4 linked regions of the Notamacropus eugenii genome follow. The protein of the gene in region 3 purifies or fractionates together with the protein of the main gene of each other region. This does not show direct contact. Links are inferred from orthologs where the notes say so. Each region holds a gene or a part of one and is shown on either strand. Other genes may lie near its edges. The genes, in order: eukaryotic translation initiation factor 3 subunit F-like, HHEX, EIF4E and ANGEL1.

What was found.
Region 1: the proteins of EIF4E (region 3) and eukaryotic translation initiation factor 3 subunit F-like purify together in Homo sapiens (affinity purification with mass spectrometry; 3 studies listed by BioGRID and IntAct, with this or other methods). This does not show direct contact. The link is inferred for Notamacropus eugenii from reciprocal best matches to the Homo sapiens genes EIF4E and EIF3F.
Region 2: the proteins of EIF4E (region 3) and HHEX purify together in Homo sapiens (affinity purification with western blotting; 3 studies listed by BioGRID and IntAct, with this or other methods). This does not show direct contact. The link is inferred for Notamacropus eugenii from reciprocal best matches to the Homo sapiens genes EIF4E and HHEX.
Region 4: the proteins of EIF4E (region 3) and ANGEL1 purify together in Homo sapiens (affinity purification with mass spectrometry; 3 studies listed by BioGRID and IntAct, counting the BioPlex papers as one, with this or other methods). This does not show direct contact. The link is inferred for Notamacropus eugenii from reciprocal best matches to the Homo sapiens genes EIF4E and ANGEL1.

Annotation. Positions count from the first base shown.
Region 1 is NC_092877.1:31,464,336-31,472,342, reverse strand, and holds the start of eukaryotic translation initiation factor 3 subunit F-like, read right to left. Parts: upstream 3,014-8,007; 5' UTR 2,991-3,013; coding exon 2,663-2,990; intron 1,357-2,662; coding exon 1,286-1,356; intron 994-1,285; coding exon 914-993; intron 1-913. UniProt on the Homo sapiens protein: Component of the eukaryotic translation initiation factor 3 (eIF-3) complex, which is required for several steps in the initiation of protein synthesis.
Region 2 is NC_092872.1:209,358,528-209,366,172, reverse strand, and holds the start of HHEX (hematopoietically-expressed homeobox protein HHEX), read right to left. Parts: upstream 3,003-7,645; 5' UTR 2,931-3,002; coding exon 2,552-2,930; intron 1-2,551. UniProt on the Homo sapiens protein: Recognizes the DNA sequence 5'-ATTAA-3'. Transcriptional repressor. Activator of WNT-mediated transcription in conjunction with CTNNB1.
Region 3 is NC_092878.1:136,684,979-136,692,387, reverse strand, and holds the start of EIF4E (eukaryotic translation initiation factor 4E), read left to right. Parts: upstream 1-4,398; 5' UTR 4,399-4,557; coding exon 4,558-4,575; intron 4,576-4,974; exon of another isoform or gene 4,975-5,076; intron 5,077-5,381; exon of another isoform or gene 5,382-5,462; intron 5,463-7,409. UniProt on the Homo sapiens protein: Acts in the cytoplasm to initiate and regulate protein synthesis and is required in the nucleus for export of a subset of mRNAs from the nucleus to the cytoplasm which promotes processes such as RNA capping, processing and splicing.
Region 4 is NC_092878.1:60,402,238-60,410,126, reverse strand, and holds the start of ANGEL1 (protein angel homolog 1), read left to right. Parts: upstream 1-4,872; 5' UTR 4,873-5,108; intron 5,109-5,774; 5' UTR 5,775-5,818; intron 5,819-7,889.

The sequences.
Region 1 (8,007 bases), on a different chromosome or scaffold from region 3:
AAAATATTCTAATATTTCTAATATGGTAAATAGCAATGGATATAACCCCCCAAACTAAGAGCTCACTCCCTTCTTTTCCTTGTACAGGAAGCTCCTGAGGAAGACAGCCCCTACACCAATACACATCAGCAACTGCTCTGCTGTTAAGAAGTTAATTGACTTACAGAAACACAGAAAAAGTCTGTGTCAAATTTAAGACTTGAACCCAGGTTTTCCTGACTCCAATAAAAAGAAAAATCCTGAAAGGCCAGGGGAAGAAAATGGAAGATGATATGCACCAGGAAATGATCTCATTCTAAACAGCCCCAGGAACAAACACAAAATCTTGTAGTGTTCCAGCATCTTGGCTAAAAAACCACAGGCAAACTAGAATAATCCCACGGATATCATGTCCTTAAATGTGGAAGTTTCTGAGGTCTCTGTCTTTAGCTTTCTTCTCCCTAAACTCTTTCTCTTAGGACCTCATTAGCTCCCACAAAATTAGTTTAATTATCACCACCACTCCAATTTCCTGAGATTCAGTCTTCCACCAACTATTGTTTACTGGACATACCTAACTCAGTGAATGAGTAAATGAAGCATTTCTTAGGTACTTATTTTACATTTATTCCATGTACACTTCCTACGATGGAACATAACCTTCATGAGAAATAATTTTTCATTCTTTCTATATCCTGAACACATAGCACAGTGACCAGCATACAGCAGATGCTTAATAAATATTTGTTGGTAGACTGATCTTTTAAAGAACTTGCTCCTAATTTTAACGTTGCTCCATAGAGCCAGGCCTGGGACGTCAAAGGAAAATAGCTGTCTCAAAAGCAGCATGCTTATTATTACCAAAGTTTCACCAACCAGTACTGACGGACTTTCTATCTTGCCTTGCCCTGCCCCAATTTGGAGCTTGACTTACCAGCCCAGGATAAGCTCACTTGGAGAGACTTTCTTGTGCAATTCATACATATTTTTAGCAAATTCCATGTCCACAGCAACCTATACAAGAGAACACGAAATTCATGGTTAAAAACCAAGCAACTGATCCCCCCAGTGATGAAACTTGGGAGACAGTGGAATAAAGAAAAGGACACTTAAAGAAGCAGTCTCTATCCTATAAGTGATAATATCAGACTCCCAATACAAAAGCAGTACAACTGACTGGTTTTAGAAGCTCTAACCTTGTGTTCTGCTGCAGGGCAAGTAAAAGTGGTTCCTGTGGGAGCTCTGGTCACAGACTAGCTGATGGGAAGCAGGAGAACTCCCAATTATGGTCCATGCCCAAACTCACCTCATCCTCAGACTCATTATGTGGCACGGAAAAGCAGTTGGTGACTTCTACTGAGTGTTTGTCAATTGTTCCTATGAGAAAAAGAAAATGAGGAATGTCAACACAAGTGTTCCCTAAACTTATGATGCCAATACCTGCACCTCCATGTCCCCTGGGGCTGTGGATCAATGGCGCACCTGCTGCCTGCCAGGCCTGCGCTAAGGATCAAGAGGGTAAAGGATTCTAAGACAAAATCCTGGCCCCAGGAAGCTCATGGTCTATATGAAAAGCCAAGAATAAGAACAGCTAGCGTTTACATGGCACTTTAAGGTCTGTTAGGTGCTTTACTAAGCCACCTCACTTTATAATCATAACTGTGTGAAAAGGGGCTATTACCACCCCAAATTATAGATGAGGAAACTGAGAAAGGCTAATCAACTGCCTACAGTAACAACAAAGAAGGACCTGGGGCAGGCTTCCAGCCACTGTGTAAAAAGAACGGCCAGTTATTCAAAATGAAGGTACTTAAATTCCTGCAGAACCATGTATGCCCTACTGGTGGGTGCAGGGTAGCGAGCAAGCCTGTGATGTTCCGGTTCTCCTTCAGATCTTTTTGGATCTCGCCTCCACCGCTTAATGCAGCAGTCTTGGCTGTGCATCCCTATCAGTAAAACACTTCAGAGGGCACTTCCCAGCGTGTGCGGATTTACCTACACGTAATTTGCACAGACTACTGCGCTAATACCCACGTACGTCACAACACAGCCATGAGTGCTTTGGCAGGAGCGTGGCACGGGCGGAATCACGCTTTAGTAAGTTCGCCCTGGCAGCCTCCCGTGGGACGGCTCACGACGGCCAGTCAGGAAGCTGCCAAAGCTAGTGCCAGGCTGGAAAGATGCGGAAACAAAACGACAAGACTGGCACCTAACCGGGCACGGGGATAGCCTGAAGAGGGCCCTGAGATGCCCATCTCCGAGACAGGAAAGAGAGCGGTGCCCGGACGGGATCCATGCCTCCCCTTCCACTACCACCGGCTCGAGCCTGCCCCCCGGCAGCGGCCGCGACGGTCGTGGGGTGATGTGGGATGTCCCCGCTGGTCCGAACCCGCGTGACGCCCCCTCCCCTCATCTCCCCACCGGTCCGGACCCGGGGACTCTCAGAGAGCTTCACTCGGCTAAGCCGTCCTCCGTCAATTCGGCCAGAAGCTCGGGGCCCGGCAAAGGCACCGGCACGCGGCTGGACGCTGCCCGGCCCCGGCCCCGGCCCCCGCCCCCAAGACAAGCAGGACCAGGGACTGTCTCTACGCTTGGAACGCCCGCCCGCCCGACGCCCTGGTTTTACAGACGGAGGGACCGAGGCCCCGAGAGGCGGCCTCTCCGGGGAGGGGGCGCCGCTTACCCAGCAGAGTGCCGATGACGCGGCCTGCGCCCTCGTTGCGACGCTCGTAGCTGTCCACGATGGAAGCGAGGATGACCGGGTGCAGCCGGACCACGCGGCCGCCGGGGAACGGCCCGGGGAGCCCAGGCCCGAGGGGGGCCTGCACCGGAGCCGGGGTCGGGGCGGCCGGCGGAGGCGCCGACGCCGGAGCTTGGCCCTGGCCCTGCGGTGGGGCCGGGGCGGGGGCTGGGGAGGAGGCCGGGGCGGGATCCGGGGCGGACGCCGGGGTTGGAGTCGGGGCCGGGGTGGAAGTCGGGGAGGAACCCGAGGCGGCCGTCATAGCCGCCATGTTGCCGAAGCACGAAAGGAAGAAAGGAGAGGCGGAAGTACAGAGGGAAGGCAGGTCCAAGGAAAGGGAGCCTCGCTATAGGTCCAGCCTCAGGCACGAAACTTGCTTATTGGCTACGGATCAGTCTCGGGGAACGAAGGGACCGCCCTCTCTTGATTCGGGGCCGTGGGGCACAGGAACTTCCTGTTCTCGCCTCAGTTCCGTCGAGAATTCGCTCCCCCTCCGGACTTGTGTCTCGTACAGGAGAGTTCCGGGACACACAGGACTGGCAGTTGCTACATTGTAACTCGACAAACTTTTTTTTTCCCTTTCTTTGTAAACGAAACTCAGCAATTCAAGTGTTAAAGTCCGGTATCTGACTCTTACGTTGTATTTCTCCGGAACGTGCTTGTCCATAGAGGCTTTTGCTTCCATTCATTCCTATTGCATGCAAATCATTGTTAATATGAAATAGTACAGAATGAAGACAGTGGAGTCAAAACAATCACATGCTTTTCATGGAGACACTACCCTCCCCACTTGCTTCTTTTTAGATGGCTAGGTTGAAAAGCTGGGTATGCTTGACCCCTATAAGAATGAATTACCACTGCTGTTAAAATTCCCCCGTCTCTTGATATCACCTATCTCTTGTGCAAGAAAAGTTAGGGTAACGTTTAGGATCAGGGCTAGGGTTAGAGTGAAATTAAGGTTAGGGTGAAGTTCCTAAAGGAAATCTATTTGAAAGAATGTCTTCAGGCATCAACTATGAGTGTCCCCCCAAATAGAAATAATACAAATATAATACAGACAATATAAAAAAGTACATAAGCCAATTGATTAAATTTAAACAGGATAGATGTAGTCAGGGAAAATACTGCAGTCTGTCAGTAAGAGTTCTGGGAATATTGGGGGAAGAGGCACAGAACCTGTCACCCTGCTAGTTGGAGAAACGACAAGGATGGTCCTGTGCCAGGATCTCCCATGTCTCACAATGGATTCCAAAGTTCTTCAGAGAGACCTTGAGAGTGTCCTTGTACTGCTTCTTCTTACCTCCATGTGGGTGCTTGCCAGCTGTGAGTAAAATAGTCTTTTAGGCAAGTGTATGTTTGGCATTGCAACAATGTGGCCAGCCCCTCCGAGTTGCACTCTCTGCATTACAGTTTAAATGCTTGCCAGTTCAGCTCTAGAAGGGGCCTTAGTGTCCAATACCTTAACTTGCAGGTGATCTTCTGAATCTTCCTAAGATAATTCAAGTGGAAGCCATTCAGTTTCCAGGAATGATACTGGTAGACTGTTCAGGTTTTACAGGTGTACAACAATGATGTCAGCACAACCTCTTCTTTCCCACACTTTTCTTTGGAGACTTCCAAACACTGAGCTAGCTTTGGCAATGCTTCAATTCATCAGCTATAAGCACATTCCTGGAATTTGTTGTTGTTGTTATTCTGTCATGTTTCAGTTGGGTCTGATTCTTTATAACCTCATTTGGGGTCTTCTTGGCAAAGATACTGGAGTGATTTGCCATTTTCACTTGACAGATGAGGAAACAGAGGCAAACAGGATTAAGTGACTTTTTGAACTCATAAGATGAATCTTCCTAACTCCAAACCTGCTGCTTTATCCACTTCAAGACTTCGTTGCTCCCCTGCCCCCCAAAAGGTATACTGCTAAAGTAAGTGAGCTTATCCACAGTATTCAAATTTTCTCTATTTGCTGTAACTGATGGTTCCATGTATGAATGGCATGGTGATGGTTAGTGGAGAACCTCTGTTTTCTTAATGTTAATTATTAGATCAAAATTAGCATAAGGAGGGAATTGCTCCATCCTCTATTGAGTCTCAGCCTCAGAGGCATTGAGTGCACAATCATTTGTGAACAAAAAGTTACAAACCAATTCTTCCTCCACGTTAGACTTGCCTTGTAGCCTTTTTAAGTGAAATAATTTATTGGCAGTGTATAACTGACCTTGATGCTACTTTCATTCTTGTTGAAGGTGTCTGACAACACCACTGAAAACATCATACCAAAGAGTATGGGAGCCAGCATACAGATCTGACCTGTGAGAGCATGAAAGATATACATTATCCAGAACCTGTACAGACATGCCATCATGGAACTGGCATACAATCTGATGAACTCCTCTTGGCAACCAAATTTTTCCGCAGTTTTCCACAAACCCTCATGACTGTCAGTATAAAAGATCTAGGTCAGATCAACAAATGTTGTGCACAGACCTTTGTTCTCTCCTGACATTTCTTTTCCTGGAGCTGTTGGGCAGCAGATACTATATCAACCATTTCTCAGCTATTTCTGAAGCCACACTGGCTCTTGAGTAGATGACCATCTTCCAGGGGAAGGATTAGCCTATTCAATTAAGGAGGATTCTGGCAAGAATCTTGCTAGCAATGAATAAGGGAGAGAGCCCTTCACCCCACACCCCCATGATTGTCACAGGACAATCTATTTCCTTTTCAGAGAATTGAGTGTCAGGTGAACACCAAAGGTGGATTAGTAGCTCTGAAAAGGGCTCAGAAAGCCTCATATGGGAGATGCTAGTCTTCCCTGAACATCTGTATATCCCTGTGGCTTGATGGTTTACTTATGCCAGTGAAAAGGTTGAGGAGCATAGAAGAAGGAATGTCAGAGATGATGGGAGTGGAAGAGGGGAAAAATTCTCCCTTGCTATATGACCAGGGCCTGAGAAAGGAGGATGAGTGACAAGAATGGCAGTGGGCTCTGGTCCCTTCAGATCCAGGTAATCTAATCTGGGGTAGAGAGATCTGATAGTCATAGACCATGGAGTGTGGCACTAGCCATGAGGAGAGAACTACAAATAATCTGGTTATTCTCCTCAGAAGTGAGAGGAAAGGCACCCCAGAAAAGAGGGTGAAGAGACTCATATCACCCTCATCCTGCCCTGGGTCATCTCACCTGGGGCACATTCCCAAATAGCTCTGGTCAGATCTGAACTCTTAGTTAGAAAGGTTACCCAAAGATGATTCCCTCGTTCTGAGAAATGGGCCAAATTCCTGTGAAGATTTTCAGACATGGAGCTCTACTTCACTGAGGTGGTGTAGAAGGTGGATCAGAATTATGGAGAAATTCTGAACATCTGGGCTTTGATCACTTTTTGCCTTTAGGGTTCTACCAGAAGCATCTCCCCATAAAGGTTAATACCTTTCTCCCCCTGTAACCTCACTCCATTGAGTTCACCCCTTAATAAAGAGGAGATTGAGAAACTCAGATGGTCTGAGGGCTCGAATTTGAAGGATAAACTTTTTAGTCTGACGTTGGGAAAGACTTGAGCCTGGCATAACAAAGACTTTTCAGCATTAGGCCCAACAAGTTAATTATAAATCCATTTAAGTGTTACTCCTGCCAACAAGATGAGCCAACATCAAAGTATTTCTTTGTATTTTTATTGCCCCTCCCCCAATGGCAGTTGACAAATTCTGTGTGTAAAATATCTTTCCTCTAGTTACATTTAACCAAATGGCATTTCTTTAAGACATAGCTCTCATATTCAATAGAATTGAATGTGCTTTCAAATTCAGCCCAGCAACACTGAAATTATTAGAAACTGGGAGATAAAAACAGACATTTAAAGATTGATAAAAGTTGTTAAGAGGAGTATAAACATTCATTTCCGTTGGATTTGATTGGAAAGGACTCAAGGATGAAGGTCTAGAACAAGCTTGGAGACTCCAATTGCTTGAATGAAGTTGGTTTTTTCCTAGGACAGAGTCTGCCTAGGGAAGAGACAAAAGAATTATTATTAGGTCATCCCAACCGATGAAACTCTTAAATGTACTTTTGTAACCTGCATTTTTGTGGCCCTCAACAATGGAGGGTATATGAGAGCTGACGTGTATATACCTCTTAGCTTAGGACCATCAAGCAAAAAAAAAAAAAAAAAAAGTTATGGTTTTGAAATGAAGGTGTTAAAGCAGTGTTGGGAGGAGGGAGAAAATGAGGTAGAAAAAAAAATAGGAATCCCTCCTTCATTCCAAAGAAAGTGATGCCTCAATACACCTCAAAGAATTAGGACCATTTCAAAACAGACTCTCCAAATCGTGGCTATAGAAATTGCAGAAATGCTGAGTTTCCCCAACCTTTCCTTCTTTCCTGGAATTTAGCACCTCTTTCTCTAGAATGTTTTCTACAGTGAAGAAAAGGACAAGCACAGATTAGCAGCACCTGGTGACATCCACTCATCACTTGGCCTGAATGAGGCTCATACAACTTCTGTACTCCCCTCATTTCCTTAACTCCACAATCCCATCTGAACATTCCATTTTTCCTTCATCACTGTGACTGAGAGAGCCTTCTTCCTTTTCTCCCTCATTCGGTAGCCTTGTAACATCACACACCACCACCTCTTATTAATAACAGTAGAGGCTTGTTCAAAAATGAGGAAGGACTCTTGAAAGTCGGTCACTGAATACAGGTCATCCGCATTTTCAAAATCAGTGTTAGCCTTATGGGGCAGTGTCCTCCTAAGCTGATTATCTCCTGATTTGATAATATCTGCTAAATTGCATGGCATTAGCCATTAGGTAAGCTTCTCCACCTAGACATTTTGTCACATCAACTTCTTGGGACCTCTCTGAGGCACTCAAGGCTTTTAAGTATTTCTCTAACATAGCGTAAGGATTCCCAGAGCTTTGAGGACCAATTTTACTTACTTGGACATTTGTTCTTATGGGCCATTCTTTACATTTCTTCATTTTTGCTCTTTGATTTCTAAACCAGTTCCTAATCTGTCAAAAAATGAATGTTAAAGACAAATCACTTAACAACTTTTCCACTAATCTGTGCATACAAGGGAGTTAGCCTGATAATTCTCTCAGAGTTGTGCCTCCTATTGGCCAGATGGGGAATGTGAAAATATGGGGAAGGTAAAGGAATCATATCCTTCAAAAGAGGGGGACTACTGGGGAAGTTAGGTAGCACAGTGGAGTGCCGGGCCTGGAGTCAGAAAGACTCATCTTCCTAAGGTCAAATCTGGGTGTTTCACAGGAGGCACTGGAGAGTTTTG
Region 2 (7,645 bases), on a different chromosome or scaffold from region 3:
GAATGACAAATTATTCAGATTTTTAACTGCAACTTAATGTCATTCTTGACCATATACACAGATGTTTAATCATAGCTCATACTTATATAGAAATTTTATATCTGTTATCCAAGTCTTGGAGTCAAAAAAGTAGGATTGGGGTCCTGACAATGTCACTTACTAACTAGTGTTAGTAACTAACCTGATTTCTTTTTAAGTTCCAAATAAAATCCCATCTTCTGTAGGAAATCTTTCCCTGTCACTTAATTCTAGTGCCTTCTCTCTTTTAATTATTTCCTAGGTATCCTGTCTATATCTTGTTTGTATATATTTGTTTGCTTGTTGTCCCCCCCATTAAATCGTGGGTAGGGACTATCTTTTGCTTCTCTTTTGTATCCTTAGCAATTAGCTCGGTGCCTAACGCATAGTAGGTGCTTAGTAAATGTTAACTGACTGGCTGGCTATATAATCCTTGTTAGGCAATTCACCAGAACTCAATTACAAAAGCACTGCACTTCCCTCCAAGCCTCAGTTTCCTCATCTGTAAAGAGAGAATGTATTTGCAGAACCTACTTCCAAAGATATTTTGAGGAACGAGATTGTATAAGTATGAGATGTTATTCTTACTCCTCCTCGCCACCTCCCCTCCACACCACCATTCATCTGCCAAAGACCCCCTGACTGGGTGGAGTTCAAATACACTGGTAGGATTGAATGTCACACCAAAAAACCACAGAAGTGGCCCCTTACACTATTTCTCTATTAGCCTACGTGGAGCTAACGAAAGCTTTCGTGGGGAAGGAAGCAAGCTGCTCCTGTTAAGGTCCCTCTGCGATTCAGATTTGGCTCGCCTACGTTCCAGGGTGCACCAAGAATTTTCAATCTTCTTTAAGTGTGATTCTTCTGGCTCCTCTGATTTCACACCAGGCTCTCTGAGGAGGCCAGTTAAAGCCACCCCTAGGGCTATGGCAACATTTCCGTCAATGTGTTTCCTGTTGGTCTATCTCGAAAAACCCCATGCTTCCTTCTGCTCTTTCACAGTCGTAACCCAAGGAAACTCACTGTGCATTCTCTGTGCAAACGTCCTCCCCGAGTGCCAACCTCAGAGATCCTAGGGAGGCAGGTCCAGCGAGGCTGGAAACACAACAACCTAACTAGCCTAACCTGCTCTAACCCAGAACCTTTCGCTGCAGCGCCTGAAATGGGAAGGAGTGGGTGGGGGTCGTTTGAGGCAGCTATTTGTGAATCCACTCCTTTAATCTTCCTTTTACTGGGAAGGACTTCGACATCACTACTCGGTTTAGGAAAAGTGAGTCTGTTTCTCCCCGCGGCCCGATTCTGCGTTTTAACAACGCATCCATGAAAATTTACACAGACCGGGGCAAAACTGCGGCAAGTTTCCTGGGACTAGAGCCTGAGTTAGGACTCAGTTGCAATCACTGCCCAACTGGCCAGCAAAGGGCACGGGCCAACAACCAGGCCAAATCAAATGTAGCTTTCTTGGGCGTGCAGGCTCCTGGGCGCCGGCCCCGCTCAGGTCCAGGGACTCTTGCGTTCTTTGGTCTGTCCGTCCCGTCGGTCTGCGTCTGAAACCTTTGAAATTCTAGTATTGTTTTTCGAGATTTTGCTTGCGTCAGCCTACAGACTGGTGCAAAACAGCCTCAAAAAAAAAAAAAATAGGAAGCAACTGGTTATTTTAGCTGCCATAAAGTCACATCCCACACAGAGGAAATGAACAATATCAGAAAAACGGATCCCGGCTATCAGAAGTCGAGTGTTTCCTGAATTTGTCTGTATTGAGGATGTCGATAAAATAATCAGCAGCGTGCACGACTCCCGGGGAAGGGGCTGCTCCACGCAGCCAGGAAAACACTTAACAGCTTCTGAAACCAGATTTACTCCTATCGAGAACTCAAGATTTCCTGTATGAACGGAAAGGGTCAGGCTCTTTTCGCTGCACAAACTTGTTGAACCAAGTCCAGCCTTGTAAGCACCAAGGCTGCTTGAGGCTATCAGTGCCACAAAGGGATCGGGGCTCCCCTGAACCCATTTAATGATGTGCACCCCTTTCGTTCTCCCTGAGCCTTCTTCACAAACCGGCCCTGCCGCCTCCCTAAACCGCTTCCCCCATGGAGACTGACTCTTCAACGAATGCGAGACAATGTTAATCTCTCGGCACCGAAAGCGCACAGCTTCGTCCAAGTCCAGTGGCTACCCCGAGGAGCCCCTGTGGGCACCCAGTCTGGTTCTGACCACATACTGCCACAAAGCTATTTATCCTGGGGTCAGTGGGGGAGATGCAGGAAAACCAATCTGAGTCACCAGTGTGATCAGAGTCCCGACTGAGAACTAGCAAGACAAGAGGGAGGGTAGTCCAAGCCGGGCCAGCCCCTGCTCCCTTTTCTGGGCCGCGCATTCTGAGGCCAAGGCCGGCGTTTTCTATGGCTTTTTCTATGACTTTCAATTGCTGGCTCCTGCCCGCCCACGCCCTCGCCAAGGACCAGCGCCAACGCCCCAGAGCTGCCGCCAGCGAGTGACACACTCCCCCCCACGCTGCCCTCGGCCACCTTACCCAGGGGGTCGTGCCGGAGCAGGGCGTGCGTGTAGTCGTTCACCGTCCGGGGAAAGGGGTAGAGAGGGCCCGCGAAGGTGCCCGCCCCGTAAGTGGCGGCCAGCGCGGCCGGGTGGTGGGAGAAGGCGGGGTGGATCGGCGTGGGCTCGTAGATTGGAGTCCGGTAGGAGGACACGAGGCTGGTGAAAGAGGAGTTGGGGGAAGGCAGGGTGGGAGTGGGGGTTGGGGTGGGAGCAGCGGGCGTCATCGGGGGCCCGGCTCCCCTACCCAAGATGTCCTCGATGTAGAAGGGCGTCGGGTGCACGGGCTGCAGCAGCGGGGTCGGCGCGTACAGGGGGACCCCCACGGTGGCCCCAGGCCCGGGGTGCGGGTACTGCATGGCTGCCGCTTGACTGACTGGCAGCCCCTCTGTAAGCAGCCCTCCCGCCTCCCGGCGCTACATTTATCCGGGCTTCGCGCTCCCGGCGATAGGCTCGTCCGGCTTCGGGGTGGGGCCGCCTAGTCCCTGTCCCCTTCCTGCCGCAGGGCCCGATGGCCAATGGGGCTGGGCCCCGAGAGTCGCCTCCCGCCCCTGCCCCTGGACCGCCTTCTCCCGCCCCCGCTCCCTCCCGCGGCTCTCCGCCCCCCGGAGCCGAGGGGTGACCCGGCCTTGGTCCCCAGCTCCTGGCCGCTCCGGGCCTCCAGTCCAGATGCGGGGCTACGTACTGTCTTCCCCGGGAGCCCAAGAAGAGGCGGCACCTAGCTCTCCCAGTCCGCATCCCGAGCCAGTGTCGTGCCCCCAGGGGAGAGCCCAGGAGAGTGAGCGGTAAAAGGGAAGGGCTGGGTGGGGAAGCGCCCAGCGGTAGCTCCCAGCCCTGCGGCCCGGGCGGACCTTTTTTACCCCGACCCGTTCAGGGCTTGGACCTGAGTAGTCCGCTGTCGATGTTTTGGGTCTGGAGCAGGAGCGGCAGTGGAAGAACATGCCTCCAGATCCTCCCAGATGTCTTGGGCCCACGCTATGGGACCTCTACTTAAGCCACCCTCCTCAGCTGAAGTTCCGGCAGCGGAGAGCTCCTGGTGGGGAAGGGACCCTGTTGGACCCCTAGTCAGGGCGGTGGTGCAGGCAACGGTTCTGGGCAGGCGAGGTTCAGGTAGCGCCTTGCCACGACTTTTCCCAATCAAAACTTGGAGGAATGGGGTGGAAGGAAGGGTGAAGGGGGAGCGGTTTAAGTGAGAACACTAAAACTGAGTCACAAACGCCTTGAATGCCTTTCAGATCCAAACCGCCTGCTACTACTATCTAATGCCATTAACAGGCTAGATTCGTGGTTCTCTATCACTTCATTGGGTCTTCAAGACGAAAGCTGGACTTTTAGCGGACTGAAAATGCTCAGTTCTTCCAAAGAGAATTTAAGATTCTCAAATTTCCTTTAAAAAGCCTTTTTTTTCCTTCTAATTATAAAGTCAACCATCTGGGTGAAGCATTGTGGCATAATTTATGAAGAGTGAGCTAGTCTGAAAAAGTGGAAGACCTTTCAGCTCCAGTCAGTTACTCTGAACTAGGCGTGGGACCCCGGGCAAATTACCAAACTCTTTCAATCCTAATTTCCTCATCCATAAAATGGGGATAATAATAGTTGTTGCAATAGCAACAACTCGAAGAGTTGTTGGGCTCTAATTAGATGGCAATACAGGCAAAGAATTTTACAAACTGAAAGCGCTCTATAAATATTAGCTGTTATTGTTATTATTAATAATAATGACGATGCAAAAAAGGAGAATGTGTTACCATACCCTTAGCTTTAAACATGGCCAAAGGATCATAAGATTTAGATCTGGAAGAGGGCATAAAGACCATCTAGTCCCTTTGGCGTCTGGTGAAACCTAAGGACTCAGAATTCTTGATGGAAGGAAATGCTAAATTTCAGTTAGAAGTTAGTGAAAACAAAGGTGTGATTTTCCCTCCATCCAACCAAGTGCATGAACTCCCTGAAAGCTATCCATTAATCCTGGACTCCAGGTCCTCATTATTCATATTTTCAAATAAATATGAGAGGAAGAGATTTCACGAAAATAGTAGAAATTATGAGATTCCAGTATTTTTAAACATTATCTAGTCCAACTACCTTACTTTACAAAGTTGGAAACTTTGGGAACGAAGTCCAGTGACTAATCCAAGATCACACAACTACCAATTAGCAGACCTAAGCTTTTGTACTCCAAATCCAGCGTTCCTTACATTTCGTTCAGCCTTCTTAGCAGGACCCCATTTTCCAATCTTTTTTTTTTTCTATTCATACAGCTCTCCGGAACTCGGTCCTCTCCCTTTCCAGATGTTTTTTATTGAAATCTCTTCCACGGAAATGCTTGGAAGGCAGTGATTAGGAAAAAAAGACTTAGGGTCCCCTTCGTCTTTAGAAGAAGGCTCTTTCCTGACCAACGCCCCTCTGCAGGGACTTGACCGGTCTTTGGCCACATTCCCGGGAGGGCTCTGGTAGCTATTCTTTGGCCTTGAAACAACGCTGCCACGCTTATCCATCCCGGGCCGTCTGGATTCTAAACTCCCCATCTGCGAAACTGACTCATTGAGAGTTTCCCTCACCTGTGGCAAGGCAGGAAAGTGGGTATCCTTCTGCCCATCCTTCTGAAACCCTCACTCCTCGGACGGAGGCGAGAATTGGAGACAGGATCAATAGATATAGATATACACACACATGTTTGTAACCAAGCTGTTTTTTAAATTATGAAACTTAAGGCAGAAACACACCTTCAAACGATAGGTGGAGGTAATTTGGGAATCAATGAGTTAAACAAAAAACCCCACCAGCCTGTTCTTCATATAGTTGTACTAGATTTTAATTCCAGCCCTTGAGAAAAATCGCTTCCTCTCTTGTGTTAGTTTCAACTCTTAGTATAAGATTTGTAGAGGTTTTTATGTTTATTTTTTGTGCTTTTTTTTGTTTGTTTTTTAACGTTGTGGAAAGAGGGAGAGCGGAACCTAGATTCTAATCTCACCTGCTACTCAGTAGCAGAGATTGCGGGAGGCTGTTTTATGTAGGACCTTAAGATTGGCAAAATGAATTACGTATTTTTTCACTTGTTCCTCAGCTCTTTCGTGAGATAACTACCACTGATATCGTACCCATTTTACAGATGAGGCACACAATTTCAGGTAAACCATTTCACCTCAGTTTCCTCATCTGTAAAATAATGTGGTTGGACCAGATGATCTCTAATATCGTTGCTAGATCTCAAGTTAATGTTCCTCATTTTGCCATGTATTTAATAGTAGCCGTGGTCTTATCTGGCAAACAAGGGCAATATTTTTATTAAAAACCTCCCCCAGGAGATTTGGAGGGGAAAGTGAAGCTGGGAAGCACTCCTAGACAGACTGGTGGACTGCAACACAGGATGGAGTTAGAAGAGACCTTAGGCTCAAATTCTGCCTCTGGTTCTTGCTACTTATGTGACCATAAGTGAGATGGGACAACAGTAAGGCTTGTAGTTCTGACCTACCACGGAGGCTGTTCAAGGTCTTTTTTTTCCTCTCAAGGCTCATCATAGATGACACCTTTTTTCCCCCATACTCTACTGATCATCCCTCCCACCACCAAAGTGTTATCCTCTCAGATTTTCCTGGAGGTCTCTATCTAAATCTCTTTCCCTCATTCCTTCTCCCTCTCCCTTTTTGCCTCTTTCTCTCTCTCTCTCTCTCTCTCTCTCTCTCTCTCTCTCTTTCTCCCCATTTTACCTTGTATAATTTATGTCTATTGTATCATTTAAGGCAGAGACCAGCCATCTTCTTCCATGCTGGTGTGTCTCACTTTACTACAATGTTGCATACGTGGGAGAGACAACATATGCTAAACTAAATCCTGGGCATTCTCCTGAGGATCAAGATAGATATCAAGAAGATAAAGTATTTTGTAAAGTATTTCAAAGTACTCAAATTATACACACACATATACACATGTATGTGAGCATATATACACATATATGTGCACATATGCACAATATATGCATACACATATATACATATATATTTATATTTCCTTTCTTATTAGCCTGTTTACAGTAACTTGATGACCACCCCCTTTGTTCTCCTCCATAGGAACTGGGTAAACACTATAGTCACTCAATAAATTGGTCCACTGAATAGAGTTTATGACATAAATTCACCCTACTCTGCCTCCCACCCCTAATCCTTGAAACACACATACACATACTCTTTACTCTAAGGTGACACAACCCATCATGGGAAATTATCTGAAATGAAATTAATGTTCAGAAAATATATGGATTGAAAGACTGGGAAAATAGAGACCAACATAGAGGAGAGAGACTTTTTTTTTGCCTTTTCGTTTAGTAATTGATTCTAGTTGGAAGTGAGAGGCTTAGTGGCCAGGCTTTGGCATTCCACCACAACTGCATACTCTTGATGGGGACATTGAAACACTTAATTCTCCTAAGTTATATAACACCACTTCTTTCAAATTCAATTGTTAGACCTGGGTCCACTTTGCTAAAGCTTGAACACTATTACACCCACATTCATGAATGTCACATTTATTGAACAACATAATTTTTTAATATCACTAGTGTAGGTTTTATAGTTTATTTTATTGTTTTAAAAGTCATTCGGGGCTTTAAAAAAAAACCCGGGTTTTTTCAACAGGGTCCTTATGATTTTTTTCACACAGTCAGAACTAATAAAAACAGAACTGTTGTGGCTATTTAATACAAAAGGTCTTGGAGTTTCAATATTTCTTCTCTGCTGGATACTAAAACCAATAAAAACTACATGAGATTTTAATTATATTCTGAATTAAACAAGATGCTTTTCCAAAATTTTGGCAGCATTTATTTTCATCACTCCTGTTGTGCAAAAGGCTAAACTATATAGTAAGGTGGTTCTTGCCTATGATTTCTTCCACTGGGGACTAAGATAAATTTGGGAATTTGGTCTATTTCTGATGATGAAAAAACTCATGCATGTGGGATTCAGGATTAGCAGTTGCCTGAAAATAATAATAGCTATAAAATGGGGATAATCATAGCACCTACTTCCCAGGGTTATTGTGAGGATCAAATGAGATAATATTTGTAAAGTGCCTA
Region 3 (7,409 bases):
AAATGTACTCCAAACTTGACATTCCAGGTTTTCTCTCATGCCTTTGTACAAATTCTGTGTCTGGAATGTCATTCTTCCTCATGTCTGGGGCCACTGATGTGCAAAGCCTTTTCTGAGACCCTTAGTTGCTAAGTGTTCTCCCCCTACTTGGTTATCTTATTTTCTTAACGTTGGGTCTCTTTTGTGTGTGAGTTGGACTAGAGAGCCAATAAACATACATCTCTCAAATAGGCTATATATCCAGATGAATATAAAATCTTCATGAGAAATAATATTTTGTTTCTTGTCACTGCTTAGAATAATGTATTTTTTTAAGCACTGCTTTTAGTAAGTACTTAGTTGTTGAATTCAAAGCCACAGAATTTCAGAACTGGAAGGGCCTTCAAACGCAGTCACCACTGATCCAACCCATCCATATCTGGAAAAAAAAATCCCCAATACAACATACCTGACAGAGATCATTCAACTTTTGTTTGAAGATTTCAGGTAAGGGGTGTGTGTGTGTGTGTATATGGGGGAGGGAGGGAACTGGGCTCTTCTCTCAATTCCACTTCTGGTTGGCTCTCATTGTCAAGTTTTTCTGTACCAAAAGCCAACATGTCTTTTTATAATTTTCATGGGTTGCTCCTAGTTCTGTCTCTGAACAAACCTAATCTTTCCACGACAGCCTTTCAAATACTCAATAGTTGCCATGCCCTTACCCTGTCTTCTATTCTCCAAGCAGATATCCCTACCTTTTTTCAAATAACCTTTCAGTGTCTTAGTTGCCCTTTCTCTGAACCCTCATTTATTCAAGGAGAATGATGAAAGGGGAAAAAGACTTCAGCCACAGTCAGAGGTCCTGAGTTCAGCTGTCAGCTCTAGGTCTTACTACCCCTTGTGCAGCTGGGCAAGTCACATCTTCTCTGGTCCTCACTTTCCTCATATGTAAAATAAGGGGGCTAGACTAAGCATTCTCCAAGGTCTCTCTCAGTTCTTTTATGTAGGACTCTATGTAGTTGCCATGCCCTTACCCTGTCTTCTATTCTCCAAGCAGATATCCCTACCTTTTTTCAAATAACCTTTCAGTGTCTTAGTTGCCCTTTCTCTGAACCCTCATTTATTCAAGGAGAATGATGAAAGGGGAAAAAGACTTCAGCCACAGTCAGAGGTCCTGAGTTCAGCTGTCAGCTCTAGGTCTTACTACCCCTTGTGCAGCTGGGCAAGTCACATCTTCTCTGGTCCTCACTTTCCTCATATGTAAAATAAGGGGGCTAGACTAAGCATTCTCCAAGGTCTCTCTCAGTTCTTTTATGTAGGACTCTATGCTATGTTCTGCCTAAAATGTCATGCCCAGAACTGAACACAATCCCTGCAGATGTGATCTGAACAGGGCAGAGCGCAGTGAAACAATCACCCTCTTACTCACATACCTGTCTTCATGCATCTTAAGAATGATTTAGCTTCTTGGCTGCCACATGTCATTGCTAATTGCTACTAACTGAATCTGTAGTTAAATAAATTCCCTAGTTCTTTTTCACATGAATTGCTGTCTGGCCACACTTCCCCATGTCTTGTATTTGTGGGACTTTTTCAACATGTGTAACACTTTACATTTATTCCTATTGTTTCATATTATTAAGTCTCAATCCAGTGTTCTAGCCCATCAAGGTCTTTTGGAATCCTGAATGTCATCCAATGTGTATTCCTCCACCTTGGTATCAGCTATGAATTTGACAAACATGTCAACCTGGTCTTTATCCAAAATGCTGCTAAAAATTCCTGGGGCATACCATTGAAGATTTCCTCCTGAAATAACTTAAAGCCATTAATGCTGACTCTTGGGGCTCAGCCATCAACCAGCTATAAATTCTTCTGTATTTTGTCATATAGCTTACACCTCTCCATCTTTCCACCAGAACAACATGCCAAATCCTTTGCTAAAACTTTTGCACTGCCCTATTTTAACAGCTTAATAACCCTGACAAAAAAAGGAAATGAGGTTAGTCTGGCATGACCTGTTTTTGATGATGCCATGCTGACTCTTTGGGATCACTCCTTCCTCTTAGAGATGAATTTAAAGATGTTTGAAATAAATTAAGAAACTGATCTAAGTGAACAATCTTAGATTCCTTTCAGCCACAATATTCCAACTGATCTATTGTTTTTGAAATTGTTCACAACTTTTATATAAAAGGACTTAGTTACCTAATACCAGTCAGGGAGTAAGCAAGATCTAGTTAGAAATGCTGGATATTCCCTTAGAAAATCTTTAGAAACTACCTCCAGAATAAGCATTATCTTTACTCTTACGGAGCAACACAGTAGCAGATACAGTCCATCAAATTGTGAGCACTTCGTCAAGGCTTCTAGGAATGCCTAACCCGTATTATCTTGTTTTTGTTTGGAGGTACCAAAAGAAAATTGGTAAATCAACGTGTTTGAATATCCACTCTGACAGAGACTGATAAGGAAGATGCTACTAGGGGAACAAAATAAATAGGCATGAACTGTTTTTTTGCAAACTTTACAATCCACTGAAATTATTTTAAATTTATGAAAGATGAGATGAAAAATACACCCAAGAAAACACTCAAACTAAACAAATCCAGCTGTAAAATGCTTGGTATATACATAAATATCAGGAAGGTGCTGGAGTGATTAGAAATCGATCTTTTTTCTCAAGAACTCAATTTTTTTTTCCCATAATGCAAACAGGATCTGGATTCAAGGAAGGAAATGATTAACAAGGTTAGTCTTTGTAAAAAAAAAAACTTTATTATGTGAACTGATTTAAATTTTATGGGTAGGGGACTTCCATTTCTGCTTCACTTTTCCTCTGGTTCCTGCAATAAAGTCTGGTATTATGGAAACAGCCTTAAGAATTTTGCAAGAAGGTAGTCTGATGGTGGCCACTATTAAGAAGAAAATACCAGTAAAATCAAAAGTTTTTGACTATTTTAAGCAAGAATGGTATTTTCTATAGAGATATCTTTTTTATCCTCTTTAATTTTGTCGGAATTCTTGTCTAATACATCTATACAAAATAAAAGTCTGTTACATTCATTACCTTGGGCACTCAAAGTCAATCTATAGACGAAAAGATGATGACCTTGAGGCCCACGGGCAGCCCCAATGATGTGCAAGCCAATTCAGCTTCCATTATGCACTCAACAATAGGTATGACACTGCCTCGGACATCAGCTTCAGTAACAGCAGGCAGGTATATGCCATAGTGGTAACTTTCTGAGACGACATTCTTCAAGGCATGGGAAATAGTGGCGGGGGGGAGTTCCTCAAAGGGCCCTCTTGGTAGCGCATTACCAGACTTCTTTTTCTGTACCAGTTTTATTAATAAACAGACCATGTGCAATAGCACCGACCTGGAACATTCTAGGTACTGAGCAGAGGGGAGGGGGTCCAGGGTGACACATCGCCCAGGGCTGGGGGCGGATTTCAACGCAGTCCCCGTCAATTTCAGTGAAACTGACCATCTGCCGGAGGGAATTTACCTGGGAGGGGGTTGGGAGTGGGCTTTTTTTTTATGGGGGGGATTCATGATTAGCCGGCCCACCCGGAGAGGTGGTTAGGCGAGGCCGCAGCTACTGCCCCTCTCGGGCCGGGAACCCCACCCCCCAGGCCGGGGCGGCCGCGCGCCCTTGTGAGGTAAGGCAGCTTTGAGACCGCAGGCGGGAAAAGCCCAGGCCCCCGCGAGGCAGTCACTGGCCGGGGGCCCGGGCTCATTGTTTGCCAGGCCCCGCCAGCCCCGGCCGTCAGTCCGGCGCTGGGTGACCAGGGCCGCCGGGTGCTGCTCCGGGGGGGGGGACTGGCCTCAGGCGCCTGACGCGGCTGGACACCGAGCACCGAACGCCGGGCCTCCGAAGGCCCACTCCCGCCCCCGCTGCTAGGGCCCACTCCGGGCAGGCATGGCCGGGAGGCGCCAGCGCTAGCCGCGTCCCGGCCCCGCGCCGTCCCGCCGGCCGCTCGTCCCCGCTGCTCCTTTCCGTTCACTAATAAATAGAGAAGAGAATGAAGGCGGCCGTGAGGACCAGGGTGGCGGGAGGAACCAACGACGCCAAGTGAAGGCGGCCCCGGGAGCCTTGCGGAGGCGCCCAGCCAATGAGGTTTCTTCCTGTGAGCTGAGCCCACGGGGATGATGGGAAGCCGGGGGACGGCGGCGCACCGACGGCTCTAACGCGGAGGAAGAACGCAAGACGGAGGAGACCCCCTCCCGCCGCAGCCTCACTTTCGCAACCGGACCGAGCCCCACCTCTGCCTCACCTTCCTAGCCCCACTCACCCGCCCGCAGCTCAGCGCCGCACCGCCTCCGTAGCCACGTGATCAGTCCTCTTCCCAGCCTTCCTCCTCACTTAAGGGGAGGGGAGGGAGAGGGGGAAAAAAAGACTCCACTTCCCAGAAGCCCTCGGTTACCCACGCACCCGCCACCTTGCGCAGGCGCTGCCCGAGCCAAACGGACACGCTCGTCACGTGGGGGGCGACCGGCCAATCCGGTTTGAATTTCATTTTTTTACTCTTACCCCCCCTTCAGGAGCGGTTGTCTGATCAGATCGATCTAAGATGGCGACTGTGGAACCGGTGAGTGTTGCCTTCGGCCCCCCCACCCCCTACCGGGTCCCCGCGCCCGGTTCCCCTGGGGCCTGGGAGACTCCGCGGGACTGCGCTCCCGGCGCGCACGCAAACTCCTCGCCGCCCCCTCCCCCTCTGTCGGGCGCTGACCTCCCGGCGACTGCGGTGACTGGGGGCGCCGGGGAGGCGGCTGCGGCGTGTAGCGCACACATTCTAGTGGGGGCAGGCGAGACGAGAGAAGAGGTGGGGGAGGGGCGGCGGGGAGCCAGCGGCGGTGTGAGCGCGAGGTGCCCGGATGGGGGAGGAGGGAGGGAGGGAGGAGGGCTAGGGGCCGGGTGGGGAAGTTGCGGGACACGGGGCCGGGGCCCGAGCTGGGGGGGGGGGGGGGCAGGCGGTGGGATCGGGGCTCTCCGGTCGGGGCTGGTGGCGAGCGCGTGGGGCGAGGAGTACGGCGAGGGTCGGCGGCGGCGCCACCGGCCGTCGTGGGGACGTGCGCCGGCGGTCCGCGAGGTGAATGTCGGGGGTTGGTGGGGCGGGCGGCGGCACGCGCGGAGGGCCTGCACCACGCCGGCCGCCGGGGCGCGGGGAGCGCGCGCGAGCGAGCCGCCGGCCGGGGTTGGGGGGCACGGGGGGCCGAGGGCGGGGGGCGGCTCCGCCTGGCGGTGCGCGACCGCGGCCCGGGGGAGCCGGGGCGGGAGCACCTTGCGTGCCCTCCTGGGCGCCGGCCCGGACTGTGCGGGAGGAGCGATGGCGAGGGGCGGGGGCCGGGCCGGGCCGGCTTCGGACTGCCCTCGGCCCTCCATTCATTCATCCTTGCCCCCGGTGTGCGCATTGCGCATGCCTTGGACAGTGGGAAGAGGCCCGAGTCTTCGATCCCTCCGAGGCCAGATGGATTGGTAAATTGACCCCGTTGGGCGGAACTTGTGACGAACTGGGGCTTTTATTTCTCGCCGGTCTCTCTTCCCTCCCGGTCGGGTCCAGACAGCCGCAGCTTAGACCGGGAGAAGCAGACAGACCTAGGGTAGGCAGTGCCCTGCACTCCCCAAAGGGGGCTGGAACATGTGTCCCTTGGTGGGGCTTACCATCTGCCCTTCTGGCCGAGGCCTCCAAAGCCCCTACGTGGCAGTTTTAAATCTATAAAACACCCAGACTCCGAAGCACCTCGATGACACTTGAACTGAATGAACAGTTTCATAGCAAATGACTTGAAATCTTAATAATTCCTTCAGAACTTTTTCCTTTTACAGTTAGCAGTTCTCTCCATTTCATTGAGGAATTCTTTCCTTAGTTCCCCACCCCTAGTTGTGTTCATAGGGACCATACATTTCTGCCGTGCTTGTTATGTCCTTAGAAAAGTAGTTACAGTTGTGAAAAGTACTTTGATCATTCAGCCTTCTGGTTTTTTTTTTCCGGTGATTGAAAAACTTACCCGACCTGTGTAGTCTCATTAAAGTTGCTTTTTTATACACACATATATGTGATTTAAATAGAGCTCGTTTTATATATGAGGTCCAGAGATGTTAAAAACTATGACCTATTAAGTATTTGAGCCAAAATCTTCATCAACTCCAAATTCAATGCTTTTCCTAGTATACCTTATTACTTTGTTCTGGGCCTTCTTACGGAATGATTCCCCCAGACTTGCACAAAGTAGGTTTTTTAAATTACTTCTGCACTTACATTGATTTTTTTGATAAAGGGTTGATAAAGGGTTTGTACAAATGTTGGGGAATAAATTTGTTAGCTTTAGAACTCTTAAGGTTCTGCTACAAAAAGAGGGCAGGATATTTAATTTTACATACGAACAAAGCATTAACTTTTAAAATATTTGCAGGTCTTTAAGTCTATGTCAAATTGAACCTTGTGTAGCGTTCACTATACAAGTTTACCCCTGGAACCAAGTTAGTAGTAGTAGGAGTAAAGTAAAATAACTTTTAAAACAGTAGTGTAGTTCCACAAAGAATTCTTAATATTTGGGGATTTTCAAAACTATACAGTATTGCTTTGATTACCACATAGCCAGTACTAACTCAGACAACAGATTAAACAGTTCTGGATTGCATTCTACCAGATACCAGCCTATAATTTGAAAAACTAGCATGTTGATTCAGGTGGCTTGGGAGTCTTACAATGAGCATTTACTACCATGATTTCTTTTTACCTGTCCTTTTTTCAAGTAGGTATTTAGAAAGCTGCTATGTATCTGGAATCATTTGAGTTTTGATACTGCTTTTGTAACATTTGATCTTGTGGAAATAGATACATCAAAAAATATGTAACCTTTTGGTTTAGGATTTACAAAATACCAATGTGTTGGATATAGTGTTTTTAACTCTGAAACAAACTTATTAATATCTAAATATTTGAGAACAATTTGAGAACAATTTCAAGTTTTATCTAATGACTCAGTAAAGTGTGTAATTAAAATGTAGGTTGCTTTATTCTCATTCTTGTTCTTTGAACTTAATTTCAAACCAAAAACTTCTTTTTCCTAGACTACTAGGTAATTTTAAAAAAAGTTTTACAAATAAGTATGTTCACCTGGTTTCAGTTTGGCTTGGTTTGGTTTAGTAATGATGCAACCTGCATCTCTTAGCTCTGTAAACAGAAGTGTAGTTTGAATCAGACTTGATTATAATGTTTTATAGGAAAACAGCTTTTGTATAGATATCTTAAATTCATCATGATTAAATCTTAAGCTAGCATTTTGTATTCTTAATGATTCAGCTACTCCTGAGGCTAAGGTCCCTGTCTCTTGGACACAGAATATGTAAAACTTTCTTTTTCAGTTTTCCTTTGTGAAAAGAGAACATTTTATTTTCTCATTTCTTGAGAGTTTTTCT
Region 4 (7,889 bases), about 76 Mb from region 3:
AATAAAATACAATTTACCAAAAAAACCAAAAAACAAAAAGTGTATCAATAGCTTCTTGTAATCCTGTTGAAAAATCTCTTCTTCCCATTTAAATTAAAAAAAAGAAAAGAAAACCCTTGTAATAAATACGCTTAATCAAGCCAAAGAAATTTCCCCTTTGTACCTGAAAAATTGAATGCTGGAACTCTTGAATTTGGGAGATAGCATCCCCAGACTTCATTTCATCTTCACAATAACCCTGGGAGACAGATACTATTATTATTCCCATTTACAGATTAGAAAACTGAGGCAGAGGTTAAATGACTTTCCCAGGATCACACAGCTAATAAGTATTTAAGGCCATATTTGAACTCAGGACTCCTTAACTCTAGGCCCAGTTTTCTCTCCTTTGCATCACCTTGCTGCCTCAGCAGTTCTTTAGTGTAGCCAAATTCAGAGTAACTCCTACCCAGGTTCCATTTTCTGTAATGGAAACTCATTCAGACTCTCTGCTAAGGCATAATTGAAATTATGATTTGTATTGATAGGAGTGCCCATACCAATAGAACCAGATCCCTGAAGAACTGAATTCCTGAAGAGAGCCATGTGTACTCATTGCATCAGCTTGGCAAGCACTTTAAAAACTTGGAAATATCTTGGGGTATCTCTGCTAGATAATATGTTCCTTGAAGGAATCAAAGGGGTAACATGGTGTAGTAGAGTTCTAGACTTTGAGGTAAGAAGATGTAGGTTCAAATCCTCCCTCAGATACTCACTAGCTGTTTGACCCTGGGTAAGTCACTTAACTTCTGTCTCCTACCAGATGAGAGGGGTTGAGGTTAATGATCTTCAAGTTTTCCTTGCAGCTCCAAATCTACACTGTTATGACTGGGTCTCTCCTAGCACCTAATAGAGTGATGAATGAAAAATTATTTCTCAAGCACTTACTCTGTGCCAAATGCTGGATCACAATGAAGTGACCTGTGTGATGTTGGGCAAGGCAATGAACATTTCTGGGCCTCAGTTTCCCCAACTTTAAAGTGAAGAATTGAATTAACTGATCTCTGATGTCTTGGGTCAGCTCCAGCCTCCAGTGATAATTTAACATCCCCAAAGCTGGTGGGGAGAATTTTCATGGATAATGCAAGAAGATTTTCCCAGTCCTCCTTTATCTTTTTGCCTTCCCTGTGATGATTACCTCTGTGTATATTTTGTTGGCACATGGTTGTTTGCACGTTGTCTCCCCCAGCTAGACTGCGAGTTCCTTGAGAATAGGGACTGTTTTTTATTCTTATTTTTTGCTTTCATTTGTATCCCCACTGCTTAGCATAATGCTTGGCTTAAAGGTGCTTAAATGTTATTGAGTTGATTTGACTAATGGGAAGCAAGTGATGGAGTATAGTGGGAAAAGCCCTGGGTTTGGTGCTAAGGACCCTAGTTAGCTCTATTTCTTCATAACATCTATGACCTTGGGCAAGTCAGTTCTTCCTTGGCTTTGGTTTCCTCATCTGCAGAGTAAGGAGGATGAACCAAGAACTCACTATAGTCTAAATCTGTTGTTGTTCAGTTGTGTCTGACTCTTTGTAACCCCATTTGGGATTTTCTTGGCAACAATACTAGAGTGGTTGCCACTTCCTTCTTCAGCTCATTTTCCAGATGAAGAGACTGAGGGCAAACAGGGTAAAGTGACTTGCTCAGGTTCACACAGCTAGTAAGTGTCTGCGGTCGGATTTGAACTCAGGTCCTCCTGACTCCAAGTGCTCTAACCCTGCAGCATTTAGCTGCCCTGGTCTAAATCTGTGTTCCCACTAAACTCCTATCCCACATGTTTAAAAGTGCAGATGGTGTCTTTGCCTTTTCAGAAGTCTGAAACTGGAGTTGATGAAGTGATCTTGAATCTTGGCTCTTATTATTTACTACCCGTGAGACTTTGGTCAAGTCTTAACCTCTCTGGGCCTTAATTTCTAAGACTCTGAGATCCCTCCTAGCTCTTGCGTTTTTAATTCATAGCCTCTCATCCAACCCTTTAGGGGTTTGTGTTCTTAGTCTGGACTTCAAGCAAGCAAAAGCAGCAGTTTTCAAACTAGCCAGGCTGGGTGTCACAGGGTCCCCACCCTCTTACTGACGAGGCAGTTTATGCTATTGCCATGCTGTCTTATGTCCCATGTACATTTGCAGACCCAGCCCCCTTGCTCACCAGAAACTCACCCAGAAACAAACAACAGAAGCCAAAGTTATCACAAGGGGTTGATGTCATGGGGACCTAAGCCAGGGGCTGGGTGGAAGAGGGTGAGGCAGGAAGAAAGATGTTCGTGAACCACTTTGCTGCAGAGAGCAGACCCAGCTCTGAGCTCTGGTATCCGTCCCCACAACAGGGCAGCAGGTGACATGGGGGAAAGAGAATAGAGGTGGGGTGCTAGAGGAGGAGAGGGAATGCCTCCTCTCCACCAGCACTGGCAAGAGCATTCTTCTTGGGCATGGGACTCATTAATATAGAATGCCTCTGATGTGATCTAGACTGATGTCAGCCCTAGCACCAGTAAGGTCTGTAGCCACTGCCTTCCATGCCTCTGAAGCTCATCAATATCTCCTCCCCAGTGGTGACCTGGAATTTGCCTCTGGATCCCATGGCCCAGATAGATCAGCTTTTTCCTTATCTCACTAGGGACTGAATCTTCATGATCCAAAAAATGCCACTCCCTCCCCCTTTCCCCTTCTGCTTTCTCCTTCCCTCCTCCTTGTTAGAATGTTATTGTCTTGAGGACAAAGGCTGTCTTACTTGTTTATATGTGTGTCTCAAGTGCTTAGTACAGTCCTAGTACATAATGGGGGGCAGCTAGGAGGTGCAGTGAATAGAATGTTGGACCTGGAGTCAGAAAGATCTGAATTCAAATCCGGCCTCAGACACTAGCTGTGTGACCCTGGGCAAGTCACTTAATCCTGTTTGCCTCAGTTCCTCATCTGTAAAATGAGTTAGAAAAGGAAATGGCAAACCATTCCAGGATCTTTGCCAAGAAAATCTCAAATGGGGTCTCAAAAAATCAGACATGATTGAAAAACAATTGAATGGCAACTATACATACTAAAAGCATAATAAGTACTCTACCCACCAACTTACTTATCCGTCTCTCTGTCTGTCTCTCTCTGTCTGTCTCCGTCTCTCTCTGTCTCTGTCTCTCTCTGTCTCTGTCTCTGTCTCTGTCTCTCTTTCTCTCCTGAGTTCCTCACTAGATTTCTGTTACAACCTGATCATATTCATCATGTGCTTCTCCCTTGTCCTCTGGGCCATGATCATTTTTAGCTTTTTGAAGGCAATAGTGTTCCATGTCTCCTTGTACTATAGCAACATGGGGAAAATGTTAATATTGAAAAACCAGTCCTTTGCTTTCTGGGGAGGGTTGGGCCATAAGAGTCCTCTCCAAGGTTCTAATCCAATGCTTCATCCTGGATGGTGTGGAGGCAATCTTGGTTCTGGAAGGCTGTACTAGTGGAACACAAATTCTGGTCTATTCTGGTAAACTTGATGGACAACCTTACAGTGTGACTCCAGTAACAGACGGACTCCACTTTCCAGGAATCAACTTGACTAATAATAGAGAGGTACATCACCCATTGGCTGGTCACCTGATAAGAAATTATTTGGGCCATTGCAACACATGAAACAAAGAAAACTGTACATGAAATTGCAGATCTCTATTAGGTACAACTCGCTTTTCTTTTTTAAGTATGTAATAAGATCCACCTATAAGATCTGTATTGATTGTCTGGCTTTCTTTCTGGCCTGACTTCTGTTCTTTTCTCTCCATTAAAAAAAGATACTTCAATGAGCCTTCCTTCCTTCTTTCCTTCCTTCCTTCCCCCTCTCTCTCCTTCCTTCCTCTCTCCTTCCTTATCTCCTTTCTTTCTTCCTTCTTTCTCTCTCCTTTCTTCTTTCCTCCTTCCCTCTTTCCTTTCTTTCTCTTCCTTACTTCTTTCCTCTTTGTTTTTTTCTTTTCCTTCCATTCTCTTCTTCCTTTCTTTCTTTCATCTGGCATATAATAAGTGTTTAATAGATGCCTATTGCCTGACTGACTTTTCATTGGGCACACCATATTTATATGGTGCTTTTCAGTCAATAGACCACTTTATATAGATTATCTTACCTGATCTTCATTCAATTCTGCAAAGTCAATAATAGTTGAGAGGGACTAAATCATTGGCCCAGGGAACTCCTGGGTAAGGAAATTCTAGTAATTCAGGTCAACACCTTCTCTACAGTTTATATTTTGGCTACTGAGAGGGTAAATGCTTTTCCCAGAGTCATATAGCCAGTACGTGTGAAGAGAGAGAATTTGAATTCACATACCCTTGGCTGCTTGACCAGCTTGCTAGAATAATTGTTAACTCATTTTATTGAAAAGAAACTGAGACTCAGAGAAGTGACTTGCTGAAATTCACACAGACTTTGACTCCAAATCCATTCCTTTTTCCTTCATGTCACTCTGATGTGCTCTTTGTGGGTTAGTACAATGCATAGTGTGTGTGTGTTTGTTGGGGGAGGGTATGAAATTAACAACAGCAAATGTTATGAAAAAGTCTGCTTGATTCTTTCATGGGCTGAGTTGTGGAGGGAGTGAGATACACAGACACAAAGTAGCCTATTGCTTTCTTCTCAAGGTTCTTGCAAGGTTCTCCCATCCACCCTGGCCCCAGTTTTAAGTCTTGTCCTTGGAAGTTGCCCACTGCTTCAGTGTATCGTATTGACTAGCCCACAACTTGTTACATGAACTTAGATGAAATTTCTCCCTCTCTCCCCCCACCAAGATAAATAAAACCATCTATGTAATCTGGCTTTCAAGCCTGGAATACTTTGCCTAAGTCTTTCTTAATTGGTGGTGAGAATGAGGATGACTCAATGCATCAAGTCTGTGTGAGGGTGGAGTTGGTGGGAGAACTCTGGAGGAGAGAGACATTCTTTATTCTTCTTTTGAAAGGACACACATGATTCCAGATTTCCTTCAGGACTGACTCCAGTGAGGAAAAAGAAAAAAAAGTCTTTGGAAGTGGCAAACATGTAAGGGATGTTGATGCCTTGACATGTCCCTGATTTCCAGCCTGCCTCCCTAGAGACCTTGGGAATTTCTCTTTTGGTGAGATTGAAGTCTCTCTTGGCTGAGTGAGAGCTCCTCTTGCTCTCATCTACAGAACTCATTAACTCATATCTTTTCTGGTATATTCTAATCTGCAGCATTTCTTCAATTTCTGTTTATCTGCTTTGGTAAATGGGTTAACCCACTATTAGCTATTTGTGATAGCCTTTTTTTATAACTAGTCTTTGGTGAGAAAGAGCCAAGCCAGTGAGTATAAATTTGGGCTACTCTCTCCCTTTATGGTATAGTGGCCACAAAAGTATCTTGAACTTAAAATAGTGTCTTTAGAGTAGCAATTTTTAGGGAAGCAGTTGAATATTGTTCTAGTATGGCAAGGCAAGCATCTTTCTTAGAGGAGAACCAGCCTTTTCATCTCTTTTACTCCCCTCAAGACAAGAATCATAGTCTTTCTTGGAGAGGGTTGGGCAAGATTTCCTAGATATTTATGCTTGCCAACCCCTCAGGCCACTTGTTTATATATTTAGACATCCCACATAGATATACATGGGCAACACACACCTTACCACCTTACCTCTATATCTAACATTCCTTGAAAAGAGCAAGGGTTGGAACTCACTTGGGGTCACTATATGGTCCCTAGACAAAGATATTGCTGCAGAAACTTGAGAGAAGAGATTCTAAAGGGCATTTGGCATCTCTTTGCAGGGGAAAAAAGGGAAAGAGGACAGAGGACAGAAAGAACTGGAGAGGTAAGGACAGCTTGGCTTTGGGGACAGAGGGAAGATAACATTTATTATTCAAAATAAACAAGAGTCTGGGGTGGGGGTGGAGAGAATGAATGTGGAATCTTGTTAATGATTCCTGATCACAGACACTGGGGAGCCACTACTTAAAAATTTTAATCCAAAGTGATCCTGGGGAAAATCAAAGAACATAGTGTGTTGTAGTTACAAGAATATAGGATTTGGCTTCAAATCCTAGTCATGATACAACCTGTGTGACATCAGAAAAAAATTGCTTAATGCTCTTGTCCTCACTTTTTTCATCTGTAGAATGAACGAGTTTATAGATGAAGAATAGAAAAGATCTTAGAAATCTCAGTCCAACCCTCTCATTTTATAGATGAAGAAAGTGTGGTCAAGCACAAGATCACATATAAATAAAATGAAATGAAATTAAAAATAAATAAAAATAAAATAGAAGCAGGATTTGAATCAGAATCCTTTGACTTTGGAATCAATTAATGATTGTTTCACTGTCACAATGACTGAGATTGTGCTAAGGCCTTTCTATGGTAGGACTTGTAGAACTAAGGGTTAGTTTTTGCTGTGACAGCTTTGCCTACCTTGTGGAGTAGGCAGCCTGAAGGAAGAGTTTTCAAAGAGAGGAATTCTTAAATCATTTTCTTAATTTGGATAGTGCCATCTTGATTTCTAGGTCTAAGCCTCTTTCCACCATATTTTCCCCAACAAATAGTTACAGAACCATGGAATTCCACACCCAGTGCTTACATAGGAGCAGAGAGAGAAGAAGTGGGTTCTGATCCAGGAGCTGTCTACTATCTGAATGTATGTTTTTAATATTTTTGAACATCAAGATGTTTCTGTGAACTTGTAAGTAGGGAGAGGTATGGGAGGAGAATTTCAGCAACTTTTTCAGTGCTCTTTTCACTCTGAGAGCTTTGGTATACCCTCAGATAATCTTTCTGGTCTTTCCTTTTAATATACCAGTTTTCCATATGTCCATATGAGTTTCCATATATCTACCTACCAGAGTCCATTGATGAGAGGCTTTGAAATCTTAGATGAGTGTCTTTTTTTTTTTTTGAGGTGTTTAAGGAAAGAAGACCATACAGCTTAACTGGAGACAGCTGAGGAAATAAGAGGCAAGGAAAAGCATAGAAGGGTACCAGGGCAGCCCAATATAGTTCTCATACTGAGGCCATGACTGACACCTCCAAAATAGGAGACTGTCAACTCTGACATACTAGGGACAGGACTACTACTCCCAAAATAGGGATAGGACTCCAAAGCAGGAGGATATTGACTTTGCCACGCTGGAGACAGAACTTCCCACTCCCAAGAGAGGAAAGAGTCAGGAAAGAGATTCATATCCAACAATATTATTTGAAAACCTCTAGCCCGATAGTTTTCAGGTCTTGGTAGAATACAGTAGTCTAGGATTCTTGAGTCTCTGCTGCCTCAAGACAGCTCACCCATCTAGGGGTAGGATCTTGTCACAGCAGCTCCCAAATCAGAGCTGCATAGGCATTTTGTAGGGATGGAAGGGGTCCTATTTGACCCTTCCTTGTGTCTGGTTGGCTTCCAAACTTTTGGTGGAACTGCCTTGGCAGAGAGGCACCCATCAGCTAGAAAACTACAAGTTTCAAATCTGGAAGGTTGCAGAAAAAATCCAAATATTGTGGGAGTGGGGATAGAAAAGCAATAGGATTAAGGAAGCATCCAGAAGGAGGTGGAATATGGAATAACAGCAACAACTAGTATTTAAATAACCTTTAAGATTTGCAAAAGCACTTTACAAATATCTCATCTTATCCTCACAACAACCCTGAAAATTAGGTACTATTATCGCTCCATTTTACAGATGAAGAATGGAAGTTAGGTACTATTATTGTTTCATTTTACCGATGAAGAAACTGAGGCAGGTGATTGTTAAGTGACTGTAGAATAGAAGACCAGGCCAGTGAAACCAGAATTCTGTCTGAACATAATTTGTATACCCCCAGTTTCTGGACTGATTCCAAATGATCCTTTTCCTATGTTGGTATGGGCTTGGATTCCTGGGCACCTCTTTTTTATT